4 linked regions of the Notamacropus eugenii genome follow. Each later gene encodes a partner of the first gene's protein in a complex. Links are inferred from orthologs where the notes say so. Each region holds a gene or a part of one and is shown in the gene's direction. Other genes may lie near its edges.

What was found.
Region 2: ALYREF (region 1) and RBM8A share a complex: the UniProt entries of both Homo sapiens proteins name them as parts of the ALYREF/THOC4-EJC-RNA complex. The link is inferred for Notamacropus eugenii from reciprocal best matches to the Homo sapiens genes ALYREF and RBM8A.
Region 3: ALYREF (region 1) and THOC5 share a complex: the UniProt entries of both Homo sapiens proteins name them as parts of the transcription/export (TREX) complex. The link is inferred for Notamacropus eugenii from reciprocal best matches to the Homo sapiens genes ALYREF and THOC5.
Region 4: ALYREF (region 1) and THOC7 share a complex: the UniProt entries of both Homo sapiens proteins name them as parts of the transcription/export (TREX) complex. The link is inferred for Notamacropus eugenii from reciprocal best matches to the Homo sapiens genes ALYREF and THOC7.

The regions. Positions count from the first base shown.
Region 1 is NC_092873.1:325,989,711-325,997,126, reverse strand, and holds the start of ALYREF (THO complex subunit 4), read left to right. Parts: upstream 1-4,501; coding exon 4,502-4,741; intron 4,742-5,174; coding exon 5,175-5,306; intron 5,307-6,577; coding exon 6,578-6,725; intron 6,726-7,312; coding exon 7,313-7,376; intron 7,377-7,416. Other genes in the region: ANAPC11 (anaphase-promoting complex subunit 11), read right to left, coding at 3,149-3,204, 4,221-4,539. UniProt on the Homo sapiens protein: Functions as an mRNA export adapter; component of the transcription/export (TREX) complex which is thought to couple mRNA transcription, processing and nuclear export, and specifically associates with spliced mRNA and not with unspliced pre-mRNA.
Region 2 is NC_092873.1:303,231,562-303,238,606, reverse strand, and holds the start of RBM8A (RNA-binding protein 8A), read left to right. Parts: upstream 1-4,043; 5' UTR 4,044-5,786; coding exon 5,787-5,853; intron 5,854-6,015; coding exon 6,016-6,075; intron 6,076-6,160; coding exon 6,161-6,238; intron 6,239-6,339; coding exon 6,340-6,476; intron 6,477-6,786; coding exon 6,787-6,923; intron 6,924-7,041; coding exon 7,042-7,045.
Region 3 is NC_092875.1:16,143,570-16,151,022, forward strand, and holds the start of THOC5 (THO complex subunit 5), read left to right. Parts: upstream 1-4,443; 5' UTR 4,444-4,647; intron 4,648-7,453. UniProt on the Homo sapiens protein: Component of the THO subcomplex of the TREX complex which is thought to couple mRNA transcription, processing and nuclear export, and which specifically associates with spliced mRNA and not with unspliced pre-mRNA.
Region 4 is NC_092874.1:460,485,471-460,493,330, forward strand, and holds the start of THOC7 (THO complex subunit 7), read left to right. Parts: upstream 1-4,852; 5' UTR 4,853-5,032; coding exon 5,033-5,051; intron 5,052-7,860. UniProt on the Homo sapiens protein: Component of the THO subcomplex of the TREX complex which is thought to couple mRNA transcription, processing and nuclear export, and which specifically associates with spliced mRNA and not with unspliced pre-mRNA.

The DNA.
Region 1 (7,416 bases):
GTCCTTTCCATCTCAATATCTATGTCCTAGGGGAGATAAGTGGTGCAGTGGATAGAGCACCAGTGCAGGAGTCAGGAGGACCTGAGTTCAAATCTCACCTCAGACACTTGACACCCACTAGCTGTGTGACCTTGGGCAAGTCACTTAACACCAACTGTCTCATCCTGGGTCATCTCCAGTCATCCTGATGAATATCTGGTCACTGGATTCAGATGGCTCTGGAGGAGAAGTGAGGCTGGTGACCTGCACAGCCCTCCCTCACTCAAAACAAAGTCAAGTGCAAGTCATATCATTATTTCTCTGATGGCATGGTCTTTGTCAATGAAGGACGAATACACACACACATCTATGTCCTGCAATCTATCAGTTCCATAAAGAAACAAAGGAGAGTTACGTAGATTCTGTGAGAGGTTTACTAGGTCAAGGAAGATTTAAGAAGAAGAGAATGAGTAGAGGAAAATTAGAGAAAGGAATAGAGATTGGAAAAAAAGATAGGGTACATAAGGACAGTTCCCTAGGGGTTATTCTATTAATTGGAAATGAGTCAGACTACTCCCTATCTTAGTAACACAATCACACAATCATAGAACCATAAATTATTCAAACAAGCACAGATAAGAAGCCACCTATCAGTCTTCAAGTCTCTTTTTAAAAAGCACTCCCCTGATCCTACACATATACCCAGCGTCCTTTCCCAATGGGTGACCATGAGCTAATTCATTCGCCTCTCTGAGGCCCTGTTTCTGACCAATATTCTACAATCTATGATGTGAGGCATCACAGTATAAAGGATGGAGAGTTGGCCTAAGGAGTTAGTAGGTTCTAGATAAAGGCCCATGTCTGATACCTATTGAATGTTTGATGTCAGGCAAGACACTAAGCCTCTAGGTTCCCCAAGGAGAGTTAATGAATTGCAAATCAGGTAAGAGGTTTTTGTATTGTTACAAGTTTTCTTCTTCGTAGTTTCCTATACTAATGAAACCACACATCTGGTCCAAAAGTTTCAATAACAGCAATGCTCAAGCTGCACATGCATTCAGTTTTTGTAAGAGTGTGAACTTTGCAAACTGTAAAGTAGCATACAAATGTAAACCAAAGAGGCATGGACCAATAGAAAGCACAGGCTCTGTAGTCAAGAGGACCAAGACAAAAATCACCCCTTGCCCCCCATGCTGACTGCTGGTATGCCCTCAGTCAAATCATTTAATTTTCCTGGGCTTCAGTTTCCTCACCTGTAAAAACAAAGGACAGAACCGAAGACTCCTCGTTTCTAGATCTATAGTCCTATGAATCCATATCCATCCTAGATTATGGCTTAAATGTCTGATTCAAAGAATTTTTTTGACTACAGAACCAATTGATTATTGTGTTTTTATAATTAGAGTTAATTTCTTGCTCATTATGCAAAATAGACATACACAAAAACATCCAAATCAGCCTATCTTTTTGGTCAAAAGCCTGATACTTTCTTTGCAAAAGCATCATAGCCCTTGGTTGACTGCTGAGACTTTCCTTCACCTATGCAATAAGAAATGAATTCATTCAATGAATTCATCTTGATTGGGACCCATTAGTAAATACTAACGCAGAAAAAATCCAAATGAAAGGAAGAAAGTAAAAGCAAGAGCAACATGATGAGAGAGATGTACTCACAGTCTGGGCAGCAGCCATTAAAAGCCATTCGACAAATACCACAATTTTCATCATTGGCAACCCAAAGCCAGGAGGCTACACCATTCCAACACTTAATCTTCACCTTCATGGTGAGTGTGTATCCTGGGAAGGAGAAAGGAGATTACTTTGCTGAAGAGTCTGGGGAGGACACCAATTTGGGTAGAGGTTACGGGTGACAATCCATTCCATGGTGAAAGACCTGGGTAAAGGTAGTAACTAAGTACATTAATTATGTCTTTGTTCCTCATTGCTTGAGATTTGTAATTAACATAAATCTAGGGGAACAAGGTATCTTTAAAGGGCAGGAGGCACAGCAACACAAAGGGAATGGTCTTTTTGCCAAGAAATAGTTTTGAGGCTTACTAGGAATACAGTCATCCCTAGACATTTATGGGTTTCACATTCCAGGTTTTGGTCATTCGAAGGTTGGCCATCAATAATTAAATGGGAATTTTTGGAGATTTTCAGTGTATTGTAGAAAACTTCAGATGACTTGTGTATATAAAAAAACCAAAAAAATTAGTAAATCACAAATGTATAAAAACTATATAGTAGTATTACTCTATTTTCTCATTTGCTACCATAAGTATATACACATAAATTTATTTTAAAGTTACATTTCATTAAAAGTTTCCCTGAGCTATGCACTCTTTAGGACCACCTCTTCTTTTTCTCTCTACAATCCAGATAATCATGTGATTTTCTCCAGCAATGGTTTTTTAATCTTGCAACTTGCAAAAGGAAATCTACGAAGCAGTTGCTGCAGCTACAAAGTGTACAAGATACTGCTCTCTCTCTCATGTAGAAATTGCAACTTTTTAAAAACATATGCAGTGTGTTGTTTTGTGTGTTAAATAAATATAATCTGAACTATTAAAAATAAAGGTTTGGGAGTAGGGCCTAGAGTTGTTCCTGGTTTTTCACATTCTCAGGGGCCCAGAGGCCCTATCCCTCAAGAATGTCATGGGATGACTATACCTTTACCTACTTGAAGTTCAAAAAAACAAAGCCAAAGACTTGTCCTAGAGAGAAGATTCACCTTCCTTGCTCTTTCTTGCCAAGAAAAATGCTTGATACTTCCAATAAGAAGCTTTGAAAGAACCAAACAGAACAAGTAGGAACAGAGAGCTTCCTATCTATTTGAAAGGGGTTTGACATGGTGATCCACTAAGCTTTTCCTAAAGGCTTTTTTAAAAAGCACAAAAGTTATCAACTGTTTTTAACTTTCACTTTTAAAAGTATGCTATACAGAAGTCCTGGGAAGTTTTTACAGATACACGTGTGTATGTGTACACACAGACACATAGACATATGCATACGTCTATGTGTATAGACCGGATACATGTCTATATACGTACTATAGACGTACATAGTAAAGTAGATCATTATAAGGTGTCAAAACAAAAAAGCTTGGGACAAAAGATGGAAGGAGAATAGATTGCTCACCTTGTAAAAGTCTGTGTTCTGTCTATACTCACTCCCTTCTTTTCCTCCTTCCAGTGGGATAAGGCTTGAGGAAAATTTTGTGCACTAAAAGAATCAATGACAAAATAATAAAGCATATTTTAACAAATAAAAATAAAGCAATCGTTCAAAGTTTAATTCTCCCTGAACACTGCTGTTTCCAAAATCCTTTCCCCGTGCATTCGAGATTCTACCACTTCCTGGCACACGGGAATGACAGCCTGAAGACCCAAGGTTCCGTTCTAGCTGTGCAACACATGCGACCCTTCGCTTTTTCATTTCTCTGAGCTTCAGTGTCCTTATCCTTAGAATGGGGCAGTGACATCTGGTCTCCTGGCTTCAATGGCCTGCTAGAGAAGGATTTCCTGTAAACCTATGAAAGCACCAACTCCTAGAGAAAACTAAGATTTGAGCCGTCTTGTCTTGGGATGAGAACACGACCGTCACCCCGGTAGGATAAAAGCCCCTTAGGGGCAAGGGTGGTTCCGTTTTGGTTTCTGGATTCCCAGCACCCAACAGGCCCTTAAGAAATGCTTCACCGATTCGAACGGAATCAAGGAGAAAACATGAAAACTAAAGAAATCTCCACTCGCAGCAGGGGAGCAGGGGAGCCCAAATCAGTTTCCTTCTCTTCCTGGGGCGGCCCCGCTTACTCCCCCTCCCCCAGGCTCACGTGACTCCGCCCCCTCCCCAGAATTCCCACCGGGTTCAGGCCTCACACCTAAGGCAAGCCTGGGCTTCAGCCAGCGCAGGACCCAGGTCCCTCCTGAGTTCCCACTTGAGTCAGGGGCTTCCCCCCCACCCCGAGTTCTCACCTCCAGTCACAGTTCTCCCTTGAGTCTAAGCCCCTTCTTTATGCTGCCCCCACCTCCGTCGGGGGCCCCTACTGGACTCCAGGCCCTTCGCTTTACGCGCCCGCTCCCCCGAATTCTCTCGCGCCCCACGGTAGCCCCCGGCCCCGCCCCGCCCCCGCCCCCGGGCTCGCCCCGGCCCCGCCCCCGTCCCCGCTCCCGGGCTCTCTTCTCCTCCCGGGGGCGGCAGGCCCCCTCCCGAGTTATAGCGCCCCCTGCTAGAGTTCACACCTGGGTTCGCGCCTGGCTCCCGGAGCTCGCGCCCTTCCGTTGGCGCCCTCGCGACAAGTACAAAAAGGGCCGCAGGGGTCCGGGCAGCGGCTGTCAGCGTGCGGCCGGAGCAGAGGACGAGCGAGGCTCTGCCGGGAGCTCGGTCCGCCCGCCGAGCGCCGACAACTCGGAGGCAAGCCCAGGCGTCCCGGAAGCGCCCTGAACCTTCGGCCGCGAAGGAAGTGACGTACCGACGTGCTGACGCGCGGGGTTCGTGCCGAGGCCCCGATTCCGCGCCCGCCATGGCCGACAAGATGGACATGTCCCTGGACGACATCATTAAACTCAACCGGAGTCAGCGGGGCGGACGCGGCGGGGGCCGGGGCCGAGGCCGGGCCGGGGCCCAGGGCGGCCGCGGCGGCGGGGGCGCTCAGGCGGCCGCCCGCGTGAGCCGAGGCGGGGGGCCCATCCGGAACAGGCCGGCCATGGCCCGCGGAGGCGCCGGGGGCGGCGGCAGGAACCGACCCGCGCCCTACAGCCGAGTGAGTGAGCCAGCCTGGGGAGAGCGGGAGGCTGGGCCGGGCCTGGGCCGAGCGGGCCGGAGCGGGCCGGCCGAGGAGCTGAGGGGGCTGAGCCCTGGGAGGCCGAGGCGCAGAAGGGGAAAGGCCGGGTCCTTGTGTGGGGGCGTGCGGGGGTGGGGGGGGCTGACCCAGGACCGAGGGATCGCCGACCCTCACCCCCCACCCCCCGGAGGCCTTTTGTTTCTGATGGGCCACCGAGGCCTGGAGCCTCATGGCTACCTTCAGGGCGGGAACTGGGGCCTGCTTGGGGCGGCGGGAACGTGGGGGCGGGAAGGCGACCGCCTGCCCCCCTCGCCCGGGCCAGCGGGAGCGAGAAGGGGGCCCAGGGAAAGGAGAACCCGCCAGGCCCCGGCCGGGTGGGGGGACGACTCGCCGACCTTTGTGTTTGTTTCAGCCGAAGCAGCTTCCAGATAAGTGGCAGCACGACCTGTTCGACAGCGGCTTTGGAGGCGGGGCCGGCGTCGAGACCGGTGGGAAGTTGCTGGTCTCCAATCTGGATTTCGGGGTCTCAGATGCGGATATTCAGGTGAGGAGTGCGGCGGCTCCCGCGGAAGCCCCCTTGTCGGGAGCCAAGTGCACGGCGCGGGGTTCCCCCGACCCCCCACGGGCCTTGCAGGTGACTGGTCCTCATCCCTCCTTCTGGAGCCCAGGCTGTCAGTGGTAAAGCTGAGGGTGCAGTGAGGGCTGCGGGGAACTGGCGTAGGCCGGGATTTTTGCTTCCCAGGCTTCTTGAGGCCGTTCAGAGTGACTGAGCCTGGACAGATTTTTGTGTCGTTCGTTGTTGTGCTGAAAACGCTAGGTTTGAGAGAGGAGGTGTAGCTTCTCTCAGGCTAAAAGAGCAAAGAAGCAGCAGCCTTGTAACCTTAATTGGCTCTTCATCAAAATATGTCCGATGCTCATTCTTCTGGTATAGAAATGGGCATCCACAAAGCACCTGTTTCAGGATTAAGTCAAAAAACAGTGCTCTTTTTTAAAAAATCTAACCTCTTTCCTGTTAAGAAACTCCTTTCCAGGAGTTAAAACTTTGGAGGTTGGAAATGGTTGGGACTGGATGCCAGGCTTTCCTGGGTCCTACTTCCTCGAGCCCAGCCATACGGCTTTGCTGTGGGAGGACAGAGCAAGGCAGACAAGCACTCATGGTGTGTCAACACTTTTTTTAAGGTGGTTTCTGGCATCCACTGGAAACCGCTTTTGGTGAACTCCACTTCCCGCTGTGTGCCTGCGGCCGGAGTATCCCCACACTCTGGGTTCCCTCTCCAACTCCCAGCCTGCCGTGAGGTCAGGGCAGTTTCCATGGCAGCGCTTGACGTCAGACTTTGCGGCAGGCTTGAGTAGGAGGAGAGGGAAACGCAGGTGAGCCAGAATCTGCCTTCTGGGGGTGGGTCTGGGATCAGGTCTATTGAATCAATGGGCCCTTAAATCTGTTACAGTGGCCTGCAAAGCTTCCCTTGCTCTGTGACCTGGAGGTTTTCTTCATTTCTTAGAACACTCTTTTGTTAAGAGTGGTTTTTCTTCCTTGAGAAAAGACAGCCGCTGAATATTATTCCCCTCTCCGCTGGGCAAAGTACTCTTTGGCCCATAGCATCATACAGAGGGCATGCCCCAAAGTTGGCATGACCCGGGACAGGCCCAGCTGCTTTTGGAAGTTGCTGTTCCGCTCTCCCCACCCTCTCCTCCCTAGATGTGTGTTCCCTTCCAGGAACATAACTCCTAATGTAAATATTACTGGGGTCCTCTTCCTTGGACGTTATAGGAGAGAGCCTTGTTAGTCATTTTTCCTTTCTTTCCTGTTTTTAGGAACTATTTGCTGAATTCGGAACTCTAAAAAAGGCAGCTGTACATTATGATCGGTCTGGCCGGAGCTTAGGGACAGCAGATGTTCACTTTGAGCGAAAAGCAGACGCTCTGAAGGCCATGAAACAGTATAATGGTGTCCCTTTGGATGGTAAGTTGAGCCTTCCATCATTGAAGGGCTGGGTGCTACGTTTTGTGGAGTATGGGGCTGTCATCTGCCCGTGTAGGAATATGATTTGCCCACTCTGGCCGAGCACACTTTGCATTTGCCCGCTTTGTCTCTCTCTTCCGTTCTGCCACCTTTCGTGCTGCCCCATACATCTGGACCAACCTCTTGTGACCCCCTCCTTCAGATCCTTCCTGAAGATTCACTTCTGTGAGGCCTTCCCAGAACCACCATAGTACACCTCAAAGAGCGGGGCTATAATGATAAAGAAAAAGGTACTGGATCTTTTTTCCACTAGGTCAGCCAGGTGTATTTCCCTCTTCCACCCATTTCCACCAAAGAAAAAGTTATTGAATATTTACCCAGTTTTAACTTTGTCAAAGAGGAGGTTGGTGGTTTCTCTCTTGCCATTTGTCTTTCTCAAATATTTTCCAGTCTTTTCCCATGTTTGTATTTAGAATGAGACAACAAGGTACCCATCCAGTGTTATTTGCATGGAGCCTAGAACATTGCTAGCAATGTATAATTGTTCCATAGAACAGTGATTTTTTTCCCCTCTTCCTCTCCTGCAGGTCGCCCTATGAATATTCAGCTTGTTACATCACAGATTGACACACAACGAAGACCTGCACAGAGGTTAGTTCTTGGCTTTCTGGAATCAAGTCAGGGCTATGTA
Region 2 (7,045 bases), about 23 Mb from region 1:
CAATGGTACATGGCACCTACACAAAAACTGACCACATATTTGAACATAAAAACCTTACAAATGCAGAAAGGCAGAAATATCAAATGCATCCTTTCAGATCATAATGCAATAAAAATTCAATAAAAGACCATGGAGAGACAGATTGTAAATTAATTGGAAACTAATTTAACCTAAAGAATGAGTGGGTCAAAAAACAAATCCTAGAAATAATCAGTTTCATTAAAGAGAGATGAAAACCATAAGACAACATACTAAAATTTGTGGGATGCAGCCAAAGCAGTACCTAGGGGAAAACTTATTTCTCTATGCTTACATCAATAAAATAGAGAACAAATCAACAAGTTGGGTATGCAATTAAACTAGAAAAGGAACAAGCTAAAAATCCCCAGTTAAACGTCAAATTGGAAATCCTAAAAGTCCAAAATGAGATTGATAAAACTGAAAGAAAACCACTGAAGTAATAACTAGGAGCTGGTTTTATTTTTTTTAAAAAAAAGCCAAATTATCAGTGTCAAAAATGAGAAAGCAAAGCAGCTAGGTAGGATTGACGAGGTTGAGGGCTGGTGGGGACCCCAAACACGACGGTCCAGGTCGAGCTCAAATGAATTCGACTCAAGTCTTTTTAAAGCCAAAGAAAACAAAGTTTATTAAAGATTTGACAAATTGGGTTGCCTCTTAAGGAACCTAAGTATTTGTAACACTTGTATTCACAAGAGGGCCAGATAGAATCCCAGCTAGACAGAGTCAGAGCTAGATTGCATCTGAGCGCCTTCATGGAGGCAAGATGGAACTTAAATACAGAAAAGAGTATAGGAGGGATCTGGGGGGTGGTCTGGTATTCCAGGGTGATGGGAGGATGGATTTAGGAAGGGTCTTGAGGAAAAGTCCAAGGAGGGTCAAAGGCTGGAAACAGCTGGAGGCTATCAGGAAATATCAGACTGTGGAGGGTTTGGGTGGGAAGCAGGTGGGCAATCCAGAGATCTTGATAGGGGCAGTATGGGAATGGATACAAATCTTGATGGGAGTGGTAGGCAGCCTGGGAAATGGAGTTTTGATGGGATCAAGGGTGGGGGGGTGCAACAGAGACCTGAGTAGAATGATAATGAAAAGCCCATGGGCTTCCTGAGACTGCTGGAACAAATGGGAAGATTAGATTTGGGTAAGAAAGGCCAGATTAAGTGGGAAGATTGAAGGGGAGCTCAAGGAGGCTCCCAGAGTCTGAACCCCATTAGGATTACAACCATGAAAATGAAATTAAAGCAATTATTAGGAACTATTTTGCCCAATTTTATGCCAGTCTGGCTACCTAAGTGAAATGGGTATTTACAAAAAACATAAATTGCCCAGGTTAACAGAAGATGAAATAGAATACATAACCCTATCTTAGAAAAAGAAATTGAACAAACCATCAATGGATTTCTTAAGAAAAAATCCATAGGGCCAGAAAGATTCACAAGTGAATTTTACCAAATATTTAAAGAAAAATTTCAATATTATATAAACTATTTGGAAAAACAGGTAAAGAAGGAGTTCTACAAAATTCTTTTTATGACGCAAATATGGTACTGATACCAAAACCAGGAGAGCAGAAACAAAACTATAAATCAATTTTCCTAATGAATATTGATATAAAAATTTTAAATAAAATACTAACAAGGCAATTACAGCAATATATCACAAGAATCATATACTGTGACCGGGGGAATTTATGCCAAAAATGGCAGGCTGATTCAATAATAGGAAAACTATCAGCATAACTGACCATATCAATAACAAAACCAACAGAAATCATACGGTTATTTCAATAGATGCAGAAAAAGCTATTGATAAAATACAACATCCTATTAAAAGCACTATAGAGCATAGGAATAAATGGAACATTCCTAAAAACGATAAGTAGTATCTAAAACCACCAGCAAGCTTTATCTGTAATAGGAACAAATTAAGCTTTCCCAATAAGATTAGGGGTGAAGCAAGGAGGTAATTTATTACCATTATTATTCAATATTGCACTAGAAATGTTAGCTATAGCAATAAAAGAAGAAAAAGAAATGGAAGCATTGGAATAGGCAATGAGGAAACAAAACTATCACTCTTTGCAGCTGATATAATGGTATATGCTTCGAGAATCCTAGAGAATCAACTAAAAAACTAGTTGAAATAATTAACAACTTTAGCAAAATTTCAGGATATAAAAGGGTGGTACCTGTGACTAGGATCTTTTGCTGTTTTTATTTTAGTATAATCAAGTGCCTCTGATTGAATCTGGCCTTTATCAGTCAAGAGTCTTTACAAGGAGTAAAGTACAGAAACTAGAATTTCATTAACTAGAAACAGTGTATGTATTTCTATTGTTAATTATTTTAATGTGATTAAAAATCTTTCCCTTTTTCTGGTACACTTAGTCCTTCATAGCAATGCAACAACCTAAGAAATTGCCAATGGACTTTTGAGGCAAAATACCTTCCACATCCAGAGAAAGAACTGTGGAAATGGATCACAGAATGAAGCAGACCATTTTTTTGTGTGTTATGTTTTGTTCTGTTTTGTTTTATGGTTTCTCCCATTCATTTTAATTCTATTCAACGTGACTATGGTGAAATTGTATTTAATAGGAATGTATATGTAAAACCTATATAAGATAGCAAGCCATCTCTGAGAGGGTGTGGGGAAGGAGAGGGGAAGTAGGAGGAGAGAGGGGGAAAACATCTAAGATATATAGAAGTGATTATAGAACACTGAAAACAAAATAATTATTAAAAAAATCTTTCCCACCCATTGATGGGCCTGCCCATTGTAGGAAGCTTGATTAGGAGAGTTGTTTTGTAGGATGGCCCTAAGTACCTTTTGTTTTTTCTATTGAGGCACTGGGTTAAAGGGTTGTGATGCCCTCTGGCTCTAAAAAAGATATAAATACTCTGAGTTGAGGTTTTACTTTGGGGTTTAGTTTTTGTAATAAAGTTTGAGTGCCAGAGGAGGACTCTGGGAAACCACCAAGAGTCCCCTGGCTTTGAGAACCCAGGTGTCAAGTGCTTCCCTCTCTGGAAACTATGGTCAGACAGTTGGGGTCCAGTTGTCTATTGAATTCAGGCAGAGGAAGCTATGTCTGTTGATCTATTGATTTTTCTGTATTTTCTTTGAAATTCAGGGTGCTGACTCCCTGAACTAACTGAATGATAGATGTACTTGGTTAAAAGGAACGATACATGTGCTTGATTAAAGTGATTGTTACCCCTTGAAAGTTGCTTTCCTTTTATGAATGCAGATCTAAGAACCTGTGATAGAAGACCCCCCTGTATGTTGGGGTGCTTACTGATACAACACCCTAAAAACATTAGGAAACTAAAGAATAGTTTACCTGTCAGATCTATAGAGAAGGGAAGAATTTATGCATAAACAAAAAGAAAGCACTATAAAATGGAAATGGAAAATGGAAAATTTGATTATATTAAAAAGTTTACCCAAACCAAGGAAAGCAGGAAGCTGGGAAACAATTTTTACAGCAAGTGTCTCTGATAAAGATCTCATTTCTCAAAATAGAGAACTGAACCAAAGTTTTAAGAATGCAAGTTGCAACCCAATTGATAGTCAAAGGATATGAATAGCAGTTTTATGACCAAGAAATCAAAGCTATCTGTAGTCATGTGAAAAAAGTACCCTAAATCATTATTGATTAGAGAACTGCAAATTAAAACAACTGAGGTACCACTCACACTTAGCAGATTGGTTAATATGAAAGAAAAGGAAAATGATACATGTTGGAGGGGATGTAGAAAACCTGGGACACTAATATACTGTTGGTGGAGTTGTGAACTGATCCAAGCATTCTGGAGAGCAATTTGCAACTATGCCCAAAAGGTTATAAAACTACATACCTGTTGTCTCAGCAATACCATGACTAGGTCTCTATCCCACAGAAATTTTAAAAAGCAGGGTGGAGGAGAAGGAGCTATTTGTATAAAAATATTTATAGCAGCTCTTTTTTGTGGTGGCAAAGAATTGGAAACTGAGGGGATTCCCATCAATTTAGGAATGGCTAAATAAATTGTATTTGTAATGAAATACTGTTGTGATATAAGAAATGAAGAGCAGGCTGATTTCAGAAAAACCTAGAAAGATTGACATGAAATGAAAAGCGCAGTGAACAGAAACAGAACATTGTACACACTAACAACATTGGGGTTTAGGGGTACTCGGGGTCCCAAAATACTGACAAGCCGGGTCCTGACTGAATGCATTTGACAAGCATTCTTTCAGCCAAAGTTTATGAAAGATTTGCCATATTGGGTCGACTCTCAGGAAGCCCAACCATTTGTGTTGCTTGTATTGCCAAGTGGGTCAGGTAGAATCTAAGGTAGACAGAATCAGAACTGGACTGAAACTGAGCATGTAAGTGGAGAGGAGATTAAATTTATATACAGAAAGATGATGGGAGGGATCTGGGGGTGGTCTAGCAGTCTGGGAGGAGGCGTGAAAAGAGAATCTTGATGGGACCAGGGTAACTAATGATGTAATCAAGGGTGGGAAACGACTGGAGGCTTGGGACAACATAGGGCTGGGGTGGGAGGTAATCAAGGATGAGAACCAGCCAGAGGCAAGCTGGAAGCCTCGGACCTGGCAGGGCCTGGTTAGGTTATGGGTCACAGATTTGAGCGTGAAAAGCCAGAATAAGTGGGAAGATTCCAGGAAGTTCCCAGAGTCTGTACCCCAACAGCAGTATCCCAGAAAAGAGGCGGTATCAGATGCTAAAGCAGGGTCAACTTGGAGAACAGAAATCCGTAAGGATCTCACTAGGGATCACGGAAGGAGCCATTTCAGTCAGCTTCCTTTCCTTCCCTGCAAAATGAGGGTGCTGGGCACCTCCAAACAGAGGCAGCCTGCAGATTTGCCTTTCTCCATGTTGGAGGGAGGACACACACAACTACGACGGGGCCGGCCTGTGAAGGGGTTTTTGGACTGACCCAGCAAGGTGCTGACAAAGATGCTCAGGAGGAGTTAGGGAGCTGAGATCATGAGTTCAGAGAGGAAGGGGATGGAGTCCCGGGCTTGGGGGAGACTTCAGCCCTAGACTCCCTAAAAAGTAACTGGTTTAAGAACGAGTGCCTTACAGGAGGCGATTATCATCTCGTCTAGACCAGGGGAGGCTAAGGAAGTTCTCCAGCAACCAAGTGACTCCGACCCGGCTTCTGGCTATTTTTTTGGAGGGGGGAGGGGAGAAGCTGCCCTGAAGTTTCCAACCACGCAAACCGAGGCAGGCTGGCGCGGGCCGTCCAGCCGAGCACCGAAAGTGGGCTGCGAAATGAAGATGGCGCCCTCTCCCGCCCTTGCTTCGGAGGAGAAAAGAAAGGAAAGCGAGAGAGCAAAGAATCGCTGGGAAGACTCAAGAAGAACCACGGAAGGGAGCAAAGCTCGACGGTTAGACGCCCGAGGCCCCGCCTGGGTGGGGGCGGGGACCAGGGGAGAGTCGGGAATGAGCGTCCAAGCGAAGCGCAGGCGCAGCCCGGGCCTCTCCCCGCCCCCAATCACGTGACCTGCTCTTCTGGCCTCCTTCCCAGGAAGCCCTCTCTTCAAGTTTCCGCCTCTCCTACTCTTCAGACCCGGCGGCCACTGGACCTGCGCGAGCGGGCAGCCTCCCTGCCAAAGAAAAGCGAGAGCCTCGGAGTCGAGGGGTCTGATTGGCTAACCAGGCAGTCAACAACACCGCGTGGGGAGGTTCTTAAGCCCGCCATCGTCTCCCACCGTGCCTTGGTGCAGAACTGCTCCGAGGAACCGGAGAACCGTGCAAGATGGCAGACGTGCTGGATCTTCATGAGGCCGGAGGCGAAGACTTCGCCATGGACGAGGATGGGGATGGTGCGGAGCGGGTGGGCGGAGAGTTAGAGGGCCCGGGCCTCGGAATGGATAGACGGCGGGAGGAGGGTCTTCCGCCCCAGGCAGAGCCGCAGGGGTCGGGCCGGGCCGCGGGCACCACTCCCCTGGCGGGGCCCCCCTGACCCACCTCTCCTCTCTCTTCAGAGAGCATTCACAAACTGAAGGAGAAGGCCAAGAAACGCAAGGGTCGCGGCTTCGGCTCAGGTGAGGCTGGGACAGAGGAGGGTGAGGGGGGCCGCGGGGTGGGCCGCCCTTATTTACTGACCCCTGGTGGGCGTGGACCTTACAGAGGAAGGGTCCCGGGCCCGAATGCGGGAGGACTACGACAGCGTGGAGCAGGATGGTGACGAACCCGGACCGCAACGCTGTGAGTGCCGGGAGTCCGGGAGGGGACGCAGTGGGAGGAGCCCCGGCATGTGGAATCCTTCCCCCTGACCATCGCGCCCCGCCTGTGCTCTGACTCCCCAGCTGTTGAGGGGTGGATCCTTTTCGTGACTGGGGTCCACGAAGAAGCCACCGAGGAGGACATACATGATAAATTTTCCGAGTATGGAGAAATAAAAAATATCCACCTGAACCTGGACCGGCGCACAGGATACCTTAAAGTAAGTGGGAAGTTTGGGCCCTCAGGATCCAGGTGGGCAGTCAGAGCTCGAGGGTTTACTTTGTGGGCAGCGATGAGCAAATTTGGATGAAAGTAATACTGAAAGTGTAGTTAGACACAGAGAAACAGTCATTGTAACAGACAACAGGAACGTAGTATAAGTGTTATGTTCATACTGCACATTCATTAACAGAAATTTACAGGGCTTGATGTTTGAGTTATTTAATCAAAGTTAAGGTTTGATAAGTAAGAACAAGAGAGGTTTATTACCATGCCTTGTATGGATTGAGACTTTTTTTCTTTTCCCCTAGGGTTATGCTTTGGTGGAATACGAGACATACAAGGAGGCTCAAGCTGCCATGGAGGGACTCAATGGCCAAGACATGATGGGGCAGCCCATCAGTGTAGATTGGTGTTTTGTGCGGGGGCCACCCAAAGGCAAAAGGAGGTAGGAGGAAAGAGCGAGTGATTGTGAATTGGGTGTATACAAATGAGTAAACTAGAACAATATTTGGTTTATGGTCTAGTCACCCTGACAGACTATCTTTTTTCCTTCCCTTTTATAGAGGT
Region 3 (7,453 bases), on another chromosome or scaffold:
TGCCCCTTCCCTTTGCCCCCCCCACATCACCTCATATCACACTTCCCCTGCTCCCCTACATCCTTTTAGATTTCATGCCTCATTCCTTCCTTGGGGTCTGTTGGGCTCCTCAAGGAGTTAGGTCAGGCTGAGGCTAGCTGAATTAGACCAAGAGCTGGCTACTTTTAATTCCCAACCACCTTTCTGTTCTTCCCTTGGTTTAGGGCAGCTAGGTGACTCAGTGGATAGAATTTGGGGCTTGGAATCAGGAAGACCTGTGTTTAAATCATGCTTAAGACACTTACTAGCCATGGAACTAGCTGGGCATTTCCCATTATGTCTCTGGGCTTCAGTTTCCTCATCTGTAAAATGAGGATAACAACACCACCTACCTCACAGGATTGTTGTGAGGAGCAAACCCTTCAAGCCAGATATCATTTTTCTAATTCTCTTTGTTTGGCCAATTCCTTATCCCCCAGGGAAGTCTGAGCAGATCTCAGCTTCTGATTTCCTTTTCCCAAGGCCCCTTCATTGACTACCCAGGCCTGGTCTCCTTCCATGTGAACATCACAGATACCATCATTTTTACATACAAGGTGGTGTTGTCCTGTGGTTAGAGCTTAGGGGCAAGAGCTGGGGCCTTCAGCTTCTGGCTTCCCTGATGCACCTGAGCCAAGTCCCTTTCTTTGCTTCTTAACCCAGGCTCTTATCATATGATCCTGAACCAGTGAGAGGGCTAACCGAGGTCAAGGCTGTTGGGATGGGGACTTATAGGAAGATTGAGGGCTGTAAAAACAACTCACTGCCTGAGGCTCGGGGCCTGATGAAAGGATAGGCTTACCTTTGTGCTATGCCTATTTCCATGGTTATGTCTCCGCGTTAGGCTTTGAAGTATCACTGCAGCCACCTGCCAGGCAGAAGGGGAGCTCTCCCAGTAGGTTTTTTTTAAGGCTCTGGGCTGTGCTCTCCCTGTCCCCCCCCCCCCCATTTCTAGAATGGGGGACTTTGTCTATCATCTTCCTCTCTCCTTCCTCCTATTTCCTCTTGGGTCCACAGTCCTTCCTTCTGTGACTATCTGTTGCCATGTGGGGATCATTGCAATATGCGGGAGAAGTGGAGGTTGGGCCTCCTCAGATCCCTGTATCTCATGACGCTTGCACCCCTCTCCCTCTGGGGCGCCTGTACTGAAAGTCACTGACTGACCTAATTAAATATTTAATAGAAATGGTGTTTGCTCTTCTTCACCTGCCAGGAATCTCCCCCCGCTGCCCCGAGATTCCAGAGATAGGAGAGATTGGAGCTGGTGAAGGGGAGGAGCTAAGAATCAGCTCGGAAAATGAGGTTGGCACCAAAGGAGACAGACAGGGTTGGAGTTTTTCAGTGAGACTCCTGGGCAGAGGACACATTGGGAAAATCATGGAGGTTAGCCTATTTCTCCTGCTCTAGAGTCTGGGGAAGGGAAGGCTCAGGAAAGGTTTGGGAACTCTTTCTGAAGGAAAGATCCACTTGGGTGGATCACCTCTTTCTTCTTGGGCTTAGAGGGCAGAGCCAGGAGCAGTGGAGAGGAGGGAGAGCTTCAAAGAGGAAGATTTGGCATTGTGTCAGGCAAAACTTCCTCCTTTCAATTAAGTCTTGGGGCCAGGGTGTCTTCAAGTAAAGGCTGAATGATGATTTGTTGGGCAAGGACCTCAGCAGCCATTTGGTCCAGCCAAGACTAAAAAAGGAATCTACATTATAACATACCTGACATGGTTGTCTGACCTCCCAAGGATGAGAAACTGATCAGCCCTCTAGGCAGTTCATTCCACTTTAGGATAACTCTCATTTTCAGGAAATCTATCCTGGTGTCAAACCTAAATTGTCTTCACTGCAAAGACCTCCCCTTTCATTTAGCTTTTCGTAGTTGTAGAGGGGTATTTTAACTTAAATAGAGAATCAATTAGGTGGAAAGTGGATAGAGGGCAGTACTTGGAGTTAGGAAGATCTGAATTCTAATCCTGCCCCTGACATTAACTGTGTGACTTTGGGCAAGTCACTTCACCACTATCCCCAGTAGCCTCAGTTTCCTCATCTGTAAAATGAGGATAATGATAGCACCTTCCTCACAATGTTGTGAGAATCCAATGAGATAGCATGTAAAATGGTATACACACCTGAAAATGCTGTGTAAATGCTAGCTCTGATTAACCATGTAGACATGAGTCACCTTGAAATGACGAGATTGCAGCTATATTTGGGAGGGTTTTTGTTTTGTTTTACTGAGTATGACCAGATTCTGTGGAAGTCATTTCCATTTCTTTATAGCTAAATTCTCTTTAAAAGGGCCAACTCATTTGACTTTTAAATCAGCAATAGGGAACACAAAATTTGATCCAATGAGTACAATTACTGTTGAAAATAAGCTCCAGAGTGAGAGGGAAGGAGAGTTAGGGAGGTAGGGGATCCAAGTTGGAAACCTGGAGAAAGGTAAAGAAACATCTAGCATTCACATACCTACTTACTCCTACAAAAACCTGAAGTTTACTTCAGACTGAATAATGATCAAGACAATCATTATATTTCAAGAAATCACAAATGAAAACTACCCAGATTCATTAGAACCAGAGGACAAGAAAATCCACTGATTATCTCCTGAAAGAAACCCCAAAAGGAAAAGTCTTACTGATATCATAGCCAAAAGTGAGAGCTCCTACATCAGAGAATATACTTCAAACATTCCAAAAGAAGCAGTTTAAATACCAAAGAACCAAAATCAGGATCATACAAAAACTGGCAGCATCTACCAAAAATCAGAGGAGAGCATGGAATTCAGTATACAAAAGGCAAGAAGAGATACTGGTTTGCAACCAAGGATAACTTACTCTGCAAAGTGTAAATTTATTGGAGCAATTAATGGGACCTTATTTAATATGAACAAACAAGTCCCCCTTCAGAATTATAATGTCTTCAAAGATCATTGAAGGAGTTGAATAAGAAAAACAGGAACTTGGCTTTGGATTAGTTCTGCTTTGATTTTTAGAGGGGAAAAATAAGGGAGAATGAAAAGAATATACTTGTCTAGAATGGAGGAAAAAGGGAATAGAACTTGCTTCTCATAACTGGGATGGATGAGAATACAAATATTTTCAAATATGGAGGGAGGGATAGGGAAAATATATCAGACGAATCTCTTATGAGAATCAGGCAAAAGAGGGTTGAACAAAACAACAGAGGGTTGAATAAAACAACAAAGAAATAAGGTAGGATTAAGAGAGGTTAAGAGGGGAAATAATGCCTGTGAGGATATAGTCACCAGCAAAAGAAACTTCTGGATCCCAAAGCGGAGAAGAAAAAAACTGAAATCTAAGAGAATGTTCAACAATTAGGAGAATGTCTGAACAAATGGTGGTCACCAAAAAACAAATGCTGGTAATAGAATATGATCATTTTCTAAGAGATGATGAAAAAAATGTTTTTAGGAAGTAAGAGCCAATGTGTTGTGAATTAAACAAAACAAAGTATACACAGATAACATCACACTGAAAAATGATAGGGAAAGACCTAAGAACTCCAAGGAAACATTGGCCAACCATATCTCCAGTGGTCCCAAGATAGAAGAAATGAGCAGGAGCCAACAAAGATGACCACTGAACATTTTTTTGAAAATATATGAAAAAGAACAGAAGGAAATACAGTTGAGGAGACCAATTTTGAAAGTGTATGTCTTTAAGTGTATGTAATGGAGACTCATGATTTCACATACCAATCCTATTTTGTGTTTTTAATATGTTTATGGAAATGCTTATTATTACTAATAAAAGTAAAATTGAAGAGTGCTGGATTTGACATCAAAGTGCCTGAGTTTAAAACCCAGTTATATCACTTCCTATCTCTGTAGCTCTAATCAGGTCACTTGATCCCTGAGGGTCTTGGGTTCCTTATCTGTCAAATGAGTGGGGTTCACTAACTTCTCAGAATCCCATCCAATCTCTTAAGACTTAGAAATGAGAAGCCTTTAAGACTCTTAAGGTGCAGACAAGGCTTTGATCCTTCACCATTGAAATCATAGGCTATCTAATAAAAATGGCTTGAAGAATGCCTTGCCGGAAATCAGGGATTCTCAGGGATGGAAGTGAGACAAAATACCTTCCACCTCTCAGAATCCCTATTTTCTTTCAAGGCGCAGCTCCAACTACAAGTACCTTCTCTATCTGCGGTTGATGAATAAATGTTATATATCACCATTGCCTGGACCTCTTATTTCCACCCATGCTGACCGGATCTGCTCTGCTTAACTGAAGTTGTGACTCGCTCCTCACACAGCACCACAGGGGGCCGAGGTGGGCTTTGACTCTGTGTCCGCTAGATCGCGCTGCTCCCAACCACTGTCGGGAGCCAGACTAAGCAGAGAGGGGCCACTAGGGGGCAGCAGAGAGCCCCGGCGCGCGCCGCTCCTCCCGCCTGTTTCTCTATGGTATTTGGTGGGCGTGGCTCGGGCTCTCTGGCCGCCGGAAGCGGAAGTCTCGCCGGCTCTCGTTTGGTCCGCGCTGTCGCTGGGCGAGGCGGCGGGCTTTGTTTCCCGCAGTGTTCCGCCCCCGTCCGGTGGGCGTCCGGGTCCTGCTTCCGTCTGCCCCGCGGGAGCCCCAGCGGCCTGTGCGGGCGTCAGCCCGAGTCCCGGGCCGTCCTCAGGTACGTACGCCCCCCTCCCCTCCTCCGCGGGCCCCCACCCGAGCCCCTCCCCAGGACCCCTAACTTTCCTGTAGAACCCTTCCCTCCAACTCGGCCCCCCCCTGCAGGAGCCCCCCCCCCAGCGCCCCCTCTCCCTCCTGAGTCCTTTCCCCAGTGCCCCCTCCCCCACCCGAGCCCCTCCCCAGTACCCCTAACTTTCCTGTAGAACCCTTCCCTCCAACTCGGCCCCCCCCTGCAGGAGCCCCCCCCCCCCCAGCGCCCCCTCTCCCTCCTGAGTCCTTTCCCCAGTGCCCCCTCCCCCACCCGAGCCCCTCCCCAGTACCCCTAACTTTCCTGTAGAACCCTTCCCTCCAACTCGGCCCCCCCCTGCAGGAGCCCCCCCCCAGCGCCCCCTCTCCCTCCTGAGTCCTTTCCCCAGTGCCCCCTCCCCCACCCGAGCCCCTCCCCAGTACCCCTAACTTTCCTGTAGAACCCTTCCCTCCAACTCGGCCCCCCCCTGCAGGAGCCCCCCCCCAGCGCCCCCTCTCCCTCCTGTGCCCCCCTCCCCAGACCCCCTGTCCTGGCTCATCTCTCCCAGACCTCCCCCCGCCCAGGCACAGTCCCCTCTTCAAGTAGTCCTGGTGGCCCCTGGGGCCCCGGATCTAGTACAGACTCCTGGCCTTCGCCAGCCCCAAACTCCTCCAGGTGAACGGCCCAGCCTGGTGCCCCAAGTTGGATTGTGGCCTTTGCCCTTTACCAGACATTTGGTGCACCTGCTGTGAGCCGTGGGCCACCTCCTGCCTCCCTGACTGCCCCTCGTGTTCCCTGTGCTTTAAATAAATGAATGAAAAGCGCATTAAGGCCTTGCTGGCTCTGGCCAGCCCGGGGATGTGTTCCTTCCTCACCTCTGCCTCCTGCATGGAGCCTGGGCTCCCCTCAGACTGCCCCTTATCTCCTTAGGGGGCCTTTCTGAACTAAAGTTCCTGGCGAGTGGGCTGGTTTCCTTGCATTAGTGCTCCCTTCAGAGCCCTGAACAGGGCACCTCCTCATAGCAGGTGCCTAGTAAACACAGTGGGCCGATGGACCCAAGCTGTGAGCCCTCCCCCATTCCCCAGCAGCTGCTTTGCACTTACTTTCACACATGCACGCTGTTTCTCACATTCCAGGTGACTTTAGGTGGGGACATTCCCTCGGCCTCAGTTTCTCCCTATAAAAAGGGGATCTAAGTGATCTATAAAGTCATGTCCAGTTTTAAAACTGGTTCTATGTTCTCTTGCTTTCCTCCACTCTATTGTGTAGACTCCTGAAGGGCAGGAGCCGTCTCAGCTTGTCTTTGTTTTTTCTGAGCCTGGCATAAGGACTCTTAGGGACTGAGTTTTGTGGGGGTTTTTTTGGTCACCTCCAGGGTATCTAATAGCATTTGATTCATGAGATTAGCTGTAGAGCAGGAGTCGACCTTGGGGCTTGTTCAGTGTAACCCTATCATTTTACACATGAGAAAACTTGAGAACTAGAGAGGTTAAATGATTTATCCAGGGCCACACAGGCTCCAAATTCAGTGTTCACTCTCCTGCACCACAACCAGAACTTAATAAATGCTTGAGAGCAAAGCCCCTTCCTTGCCTGAGCCCTGGATGAGAGACAGCCCAAGACTTGCCAGGCCAGGGAGCTTTTGTTCAGTGGGCAGGCTCACTGTTAAGCGAGACAAAGCAGAAGGCTTTACTTTGAAGATGCTCATGTGTTTTTGGAGAGACTCACCATGTAGACCAGCATAGGTATGAACATTGGAAGAGGAGAGAGTGGGCACAATTCACAGGAATATCAGAGACTGCTTCTCTTAGGAGATGGCATGTGAGGTGATCCTTGAGGGAAGGCAGGTATTATAGACAGTGGAGATGAGACAGTGAAAACTTGGGGGGAGTGGGGAGCTACAGCTTAGGCAAAGGCATGGAAGTGAAGAGGCCAGGCCAAATTTGAGGAGTAGCCTTTAGGCCAGTGCTCCCCACGCAGAGCTCCCAAGAATGGCTTTGGAAGGCGGCGGCTGCTAAGTTGTGAAAGTCTTTGAATGCCAAGCTGAGGCATTTGTATTTTGTCCTGGAGGCCATAAGGGCTCTGAGATTCTTGAGCAGAGACTTGTGCTTTAGGAGGCTTATTTTGACAGTCCTATGAGGATGCACTGGATTGGAGGCCAGACAGAGAGCTATTGAAATAGCCCAGGTGAGAAGTACCAGGGTGTGAACTCAATGATGATAAAAGCATTTATGTAGCACTTCGCTTACGTTGACTCACTTGGGAGTGGAGAGGAGTTAAAATCAGGTAGACCTGCAGCTGATTAAATTTGGGGAGAGAGGGAAAAGTAGAGAATGGCTGAGGTATAAGACTGAACACAGAACACTTTAAGTTCTGTACCCATTTTCTGTATATTACCTTATTTGATCCTTGCAGCAATCCTGGAAGGTAGGTGCTATTATTAATCTCCATTTTACAGATGAGGAAACTGAGGCTGAGCAACTTGCCCATTGTCACACAGTAGTAAGTGTCTGGGACAGGGTTCTAGTGCAGGTCTCCCTGATTGCAACTCCAGGACTCCAGTCACTCACTGCATCACACAGAAGTGGCTGAGCCCAGGCTAATGTTAGTCCTCCAGCTCCAAATGTGGCATGCTGCCCCATTGTGTTGCTCTGGCTCAGTAGTGCACGAGGGCTTCAGAGTCCCTTCCCCAGAGAGGGTGTGTTTCTTGTCTCCCAGGCTCACCAGTTTTCCTTTTCCTCCTTTTCCATACCAGAACTACTTGGAAGTCCGAGAGAGAGATGTGCTATGATTGTTT
Region 4 (7,860 bases), on another chromosome or scaffold:
TGTCTCTCCAATTTCAGAGCACTCATGATGAAACATGCTCCCCATCTCCTAAGAGAGAGGACACAGAATGAAGAATGAGACATATTCTTTTGAATATGGTCAACTTGGAAATATGTTTTGATTGACTATGCATGTTTTCAATGAGTTTCGTTTTTCTTTTGTTCTCAATTTGGGGTTGGAGTAGAATGGCAATAAGGAAAATTTGTTCTGCCTAAAACAAACTCTAATTTAATAAATAAATCCTGTGCATCTATAAATGTCTGAGATAATTCATTCCTCATATGCAAAACTATTAAACATGCTTCCAAACAATTTCTCATGTAGTTTTCTTTTCAATTTTACATTTAAAAATCTATTCCAAAACAAGAGCCAACAAAACAATATTATTCTATTAAAAATATGATTAAATGACTTTAGAAAGAGAGAGAAAAGGATAAAACATGATCCATTTTCTTCCCTAGTATATCTCTATTCTATATACACAATGGTTAAGAAATGGGGAAGAGATGAAACTTAGCACCAAAGGAAAAGGAGCTATGAGGTTCAGCTTCAGCTGGATGAAATTACACACACACACACACACACACACACACACACACACACACACACATACACACACATACACACACACATATCCTCATTTAATCTCTAGACTGTGTGGAGCACAAGAGGTACCTTTGTGTATTTTATTGAACTAAACATATCATGCAGAAAGGGAAGGAAAGGCCAACGACAGGGATTTCTTCATGGCAATGGTTTCATGTTGGTAGCATGAAGGGGTGACCTCACTTTTCCCTCAAAGAAGATAATTAAAATAAGCAGGAATATCAAATCTAAAAAATTTCCAAAGATAACTGTGTTGATATATGTTTTAACTTTAAAAAAAAAAACGACAGAAGAAAACACAGTCACACCTGGCTGGATAAAACTAGAGAAATTTAGAAAATTATACATGACAAACATAGTATGATATAATCAGTTCTAAGCAGAATTCAAGATCTCCTAATAGCTATGAGGCCACAAGCTACTTAACCGTCAGGGGGTCACTGAATGGGTGTCAGAAGGAGATCTCGGGCTAATACAGCCAGAGCTGACAACGACAGGTGATCTCTGTACATTCTACCTGAATAATAGTACAGCTAAGGAACAAATCTAGAGAATCGCTCATATTCTTCCAGACCACAAACCATCCCGGGCCAGGGCTCCCAACGTGTAGAGGCCTGCGCGCCTCCAGGATTTGGGCACAACCCACCAGCCAAACTGCCCCTGGGTGAGGGCCTTCCCGATGAAAACAGGAACCATTTCAGCTTCTGGTTTGAGGCTCTTAGCTCAAGATGGAAATACCACTAGGGATAAGAAGATAATTTGTTGGAAAGAATTCTATTTGGTTCAATTAAAAAACATTTTCCTTATGGGTAACTACTCTGTGTATGTATACATAAATATAAATTAACAAATGTACTTTGTGTATATGTATACACATATTTAAATATATTATTAATTTTATATTTCTGCTGAGTAGATGTTATATGTATTTGCTGTCTTCTCCATTAGAATGGTATATCACTGCATGGAGAAATTATTTCATTTATTGTGTTTCTATCTCCAGTGCTTAACATGGTCCACAGCACATAGTAGACCAGTCAGACTTGTTGACTGTGCATTGTGGCAGGTACTGGGGTCACAAAAATAAAAGTCAATGAACATTTATTAAGAACTTAACTATGTGCCAAACTATCCTGTGCTAAACTCCAGCAGGAGACAGTCACAGAGAACAGAGAGATCACAGTCTAATAGACTTAAACAAGATATGGTTCCTAGGGGGCTGAGTTTTGAGGACTGAACAAGATAGTTCTTTCTGTAAGGGAGCTTAAAATCCAGAAGGAGAAACCTAGTGGAGTTTATGGCAGAGCCGCCCCTGAAGTTTTACGAGAGTCCAAGGTACTCTATTTATGCTCAAACAGATTCTGGAGCCTCTATGGTAACAAAGTGTCAATACATTCCATCAAGACACAGAAAAATGAAAAATAAAATCAGTGGAGGAAAAATTACTTTTTAAAGTAAATAAAAGAATATCATCCACTTGGTTTCTCTGCTCAGAATTCCAGCACAGGTGAGGAGGAAGTCAAAGCAGGTAGGTGTGAACCTGTTTCTCTTAAATATAAAGAAATCAAGAATCTAAATTGCTTTGTTACCTTGGTTAAGTAATGGTACTTATGGCCACAGTAAGTATGTGATGAGAAGGATTGTAAGCATATCACTGTTATCTCAGTTCTACATTTCCACCGGAAAACTGTTCTCTTACTCTAAATGAGGGAGAAGGCGAAGTAAATATTTAAAAATCGGGCTCTTCTTACTTTAATAATAACAATAAAATAGCTAGCACTTACATATTACTTTAAGGTTTACAAGTGCTTCGCAAATCTCATTTTATCCTTATAACAACCATGAGGTAAGTGCTATTATTAACTCCATTTTACAGATAAGGAAACTGAGACAAACAGAAGTTAAACAATTTGCCCAGGGTCACCGAGCCAGTAAATGCCTCTGCAGGAAGTCTTCCTGATTCCAGGTAAAGCCTCTATTCACGGTACCACCTACCCGATTTAAGCCAACGTAAAATACTGATGAATATAGGTTGCCGTTAGGAACTGAATGCACAAAGACAGGGACTAAATTCTGAAAAATTATTTTGTCTGTTTGCTTACTTAATTTCATGATGTTTTATGAAAAGGGTAATTAATGAAGAAAGGGAGTTCCTTTTGGACAGGAACTTTCATTTTGGGAAGCTGGCAAAGTGCCTTCGACCCAGCAGTGGCTTAAGAAAGGTTTACTGAATTCATCACTCACATTAATGACCATGTATCTGAGATAATCCAATCAGATTAAATTGTGTGGACCATAAGGCTTTAAGAGCGGAAGGTTAAAATAATGATACTGCATGCAGCCACCTTTACTCAAGTGCCATCAAGTGCTGAGTAGCGCTGAATATCGGACAAATGAAGGTTCTTCTCGTCAGTCCCCTTCCCTCCCCAGAACTAAACGACATAACAGTGTGTCCTCAAAGGCAACTTTGTATCTGATAAAACTTCCCCAGAAAATTTCACAGTTACAAAAGGGCTAGGGGAGTGGCATATCTTCCTACTTTTAATTAAAGTAAAAAACACCACCACCAGAAGAAAAGGCTTTTCTTTCCAAAATCATCCTTTCTAATGACATCTAAAAAAATGTTAACTTTACAACTGTCATCCTTACAATTATCATTCCAATTAAAACCTTAGTAAAATTTACTCCTTAAAAAGACATGAAACATCCGATTTATAACCAATGATTGTGAAGATCTAAAGTAATTCTAGTCTAAGTCGGGATGTTCTCCTCCTTCTGGGCTCAATAAACTGAACAAGGCTGGAGGACAAACAGATAGTTTGGCTCTGGACGAGAAAGCACGCTGGATTTAGAATCAGAGCTTTCTGGGTTCTAATTCTGACTCTCCCCCTTAAAATCAGTGTTCTTTGGGACAAATGCCCCATCCTCCGAAGGGCGTTAAAGGAGAGGACCAAGGAAGGGCCTTTCTAGCTCCATCTCCTCGTCCATACACAACTTGTTAAGGACCTCTCAACTTGAGGACCTCAAGGCTCTCTCGAGAACGTTAGCCACTGGAGGACGGGGAGGGATTTTTGTTTTTTCATCTTCACCTCTTAGGGCAGTACTTCCTAAGTGACTGACTGACACAGTCACTGATTGACTTCAACCTAATATGCAATATAAAAACAAATGTAAATCCCTTCCATCTACACTCAAGTAGTTTAAATGGGTCAGGATAATCTCGCAAACATAAAGAAAGGTATTAAATATCTGTATCGGTTTCCAGTTGGATGTTTCACAGAATTAAATCACGGCCCGTTCTACACGCATTGAGGCCAAGGGACCCAATGAGGTCTCCGGGCCTTGGGGCTGGGCCCGGGTCAGCTGGGGATCTCTTCGGGCCGGCAATGATACCCAAGAGCGATCGAGAAGCATTTGGGAGGCACCAACAGGCGCCAGGCCCCGGGGATACAAAGAAGGGGAAATGCTCTGGGTAGGATTCCACTCTGGGGAGGGTTGGCACACACCCTAGAACGGACCCAAATGGGGGAGACTGCGCGGGGGGGCGAGCAGCCCACCAAGTCGGGGGTCGGAAGGGGTGCCCACATTACCTGGCGAACGGGGGGGTCTCAGTGGGGCTTTCCGTGGCCTCGCAGCCGGCGGCCCCAAGGGCCGAAGCTCGGCTGGTTTGGGGCCCCGGCCGCGGGGGGCGGTCATGGGACAAGCCTAGCATCGGCCCCCTCCCATTTTACCTTTATACCGGACATGGGCGGGGGCGGGGGAGGGGTCGCACGGTAATGACAGGTTGGAGGCCGGGGCCCCCGCGCCTCAGGCATGCCTCCGGGCGCGCACGCACGCCTTCGCGCCCCGCGCCCCACAACGAGGGCCCGGGAGCCGGTTCCCGCGCGAACTTTGCAGGTAGCAGAAGCTGGTGGGCGGAGCGCCGCCGCCCCGCCCCCGCCCCGGCGCGCGCTGCCTCCCGCCCCCCGCACGCCCGCAGACCTCCCCCCGCGGTGACCTTCCCTTCCCCGCCCCTCCCCCCAGCCCCCAGTCCCCGGAAGGGGGCTCCGAGATCCGCGGCCCCGCACCCCTCCACCCCGCTCGGGGCCGCGCCGCGTGTGCGCTGGCCCCCTCGTCCCTCCCGCCCGGCCCGGCCTCGCGGCGGCTCTCACCTGGCGGGCGGAAGCAGCGCGTCCTGCGGCGCGGGGCGGGGCCGCGGGGCGGGGCCTTGGAGCCGGGCGTGCTGGGCCCTCCGCCCCTCGCCGCCCCGCCCCGGCCTCCTCCCCCTCCCCCCAGGGGGCGGGCCCGGGCACGCGCGGCTCGGCGGCGGCTCCGGCGGCAGGCCCCGCCCCTAGGCCTTCATGGCTGTTTGCCCGGCTGCATTGTGGGAGTTTGACCCGGGGCCGCTGGACGCGGTTGAGGATCCGCCGCCGCCGCCGAGGGCGCGATGGGGTCGGTGACGGACGGTAAGGGGGCTCCGCCAGGGGTGGGAGGAACGGGGCCGAACACCTCCTCCCCAGATCCTCCCAGACCCGTCCTTCCCGAGAGCCCCTGGGGATGGGGTGGGGGGCCCCCACGGGAAAGGGGGTCCCAGGCCGTGCGGGCTCGGACCCTGGCCCTTCCCGCCGTCCCCTCTGTGCGTGACGGCCGGACGAAGGGAGCGCGGCCGGGCCCGAGGGTCCGCGAGGCCGGGCAGCCGCCGGCCGGGCCTCACCGAGACCTGGAGCGCTTCGTGCGCTCCGCCGGTGGGGGAGACACGCGTGCGGACCCGGGGCTGCGCACGGGCCTCCCCCGGGCGGGGAAATCCACGCGAGAAGCGCCTTGTCTCGGCCGATCGGGCCCGTTTGTTGTGTGGGTTGTGTTCCCAGGGCCTGGTGGGGACTGGGGAGGGCGGCCTGGCGTGCGTGTGTGCGTGCGTGTGAGTACAGGTGTAAATACACACGCACAGACATCCGGGGATTGGGGTAAAGCACCCCTGGGGGAGGCCTGCAAGCTTACAGAACTTTAGGGACCGGCCGACCCTGACCCGCGCCCAGCTCCTGTCCTCGCTTTTCTAGGCCGCTGGGACTTGTGCAGTCCAGTCTCCTCCCCCCGACCCCACTGGGACTTTTTGGCCGAGGCCCTGGAGCACTTGGCCATTTCCTTCTCCAGCTCATTTTACAGAGGAGGAAACTGAGGCAGACAGGGCCACGTGACTTATCCAGGATCCTACTGTGCGAGGCACATTTGAACTCAGGTCTTCCTGACTCCGGGCCGAAGGGGCCATCGGCTACACCACCAAGTTATGGTAGCTGCATACCCAGCATCCTTTACATAACCGGAATCAGTGGTGGTGAACCAGTTATAAATCCTGCGGAAATCTGAGTTCTATCTTGCTTTGATGGTTAGTGACTAGACCAGAGCATTTCTTTTCCAAGGCCTAAGAATGTTGCTTTTGGTGTTTGAATCACCTCTATTTCATGTGTTAATTAAGCTTTGGCAAGATCTTTTCCACGAGGGGAGTGATGATTTTTGTTGACTATTCAGATCCTTAAATATCGATGCTTAGTTGTTAACCTGATCAATATTTCTGGAGTGATGGAGGATTGAATTTCAAAATTCCTCCCGCAGCATTGTCTTTGGGAAGGAGGGGCTAGAATTTTTAAGAGTACAGAATTATGAGCTTTCAGAATGAGAATTCCAGCCAGTTTAATGTAATACCATCTGTGTCACATCTCTCAAGTGAGATTGCAACCCAGTGTCAAAAGTTGCTGAAAGGTCTGATGGTTTGACAGGGACATATGCCTTATGTCTTGACTGAGAAAATTAATTAGCAATGAGAATAGTGCCCTATTTTTGTCAAGTCTGTACGGTATTATTCCCCAGCAGAAGAACTCCAGGCTTCAAGGTCTAGCTAAGAGATGTTTGGAGGTGGAGAGAAAAGAGGGGAATTAGAGTTGATGGAGCTTAATTTTCAATTTTCCTAAATTGTGTGGCTTTTTTCTTTCAGTGAAGTTTTTTCCCTTTTGTCTCCTTTTGAAGACTGGTCCTTACCTGTGCCCTCAGTGTCATGTTTCCCCCCCTCCATCTCCTCCAGGAGTTTACTCTCTCATCTCTTTTTTTTTTTTTTCTGTTTCTAACTACTGATTTCCCCCTACTGACTTTCACTCCAAACCCAGTATTCTTTTCCACTGGTTTTGTAAATTGGGATACTACTGACCAAGCTCTCTTTGTGGGCAGTATTGTGGCAGCTAGATGGTAGGGCAGTGGTTAGAATACCTGAGCACAAATGGGACTTTTGACACTTCCTAGCTGTGTGACCCTGGGCAACTCAGGTCATGTCTCTCTCTGCCTCAGTTTCCTCCTATAAAATTAGGATAGTAATAGCACCTCCCTCCCAGGGTTGCTGTGAGGATCAAATGAGATGATAATTGTGAAATGTATGGCATAGTGTCTGGCACACAGTAAGTGCTAAGTGAATGCTGGTTATTATTACTGTCTCTCCTACCTGTGTGACTCTTCCTCAGCTCCTCTTTTGGAATCTTCATTCATTTCCTGCCTGCTAATTTGATCGTTTCTCAAGGTCCTATCCTGTGCCTTCTCAGTCCTCTCTCAGTAATCATGTCTGTTCTGGTGGGCTCAGTTATTGTCTCTGTATAAATCACTCCTAAATCTGTGTATCCAGGCCAAATCTCTGCAGAGCTCTACTATAGCATATCATTAGTTGCCTGCTAGACATCACTACCTGATTTCAAATGTAGATCTCCTGATTGCAACCTTTCTTGTCTTCATGCCATTTACACATTTGCCACCCGATTAATTTTCCCAAAATCCCACTTTCATGTTCTTCCCTAGCTTTTCATTGGCTCCTTTGTGCCTAGTGACTGTAACTCTCATTTATAAAGCCCTTAAAATATTAAAGTCATTTCTCATAGTCACACTGGAATGTAGATATTATGAGTAGATCATCCCCATTTTATTGATGAGGTAACTAAGAAGTTAAAATGACTTGCCTCTTGTCTCAGCTCATAATGTCAATTGAATATGTCTTTTGCCTACAAGTCCAATACCCTTTTATCTACTGCTGTTTTCTATCTCTTGTTCTTGGAATTAGAAATATTTCTACCTGTGTACTGAAACTATTGTTAAATGTTTGGGGAATGATTTATCAGGCAGGCTCTCCAGGAATCCAGCACTATTTCAGCTAAGCTGGAGCATCATAACTGAGGTAAAGAAACCAGAGGAGAAGCCCTTTCGTTGGTCCTTATTCTTTGTTCCTCTTTTCCTTCTTGTTAA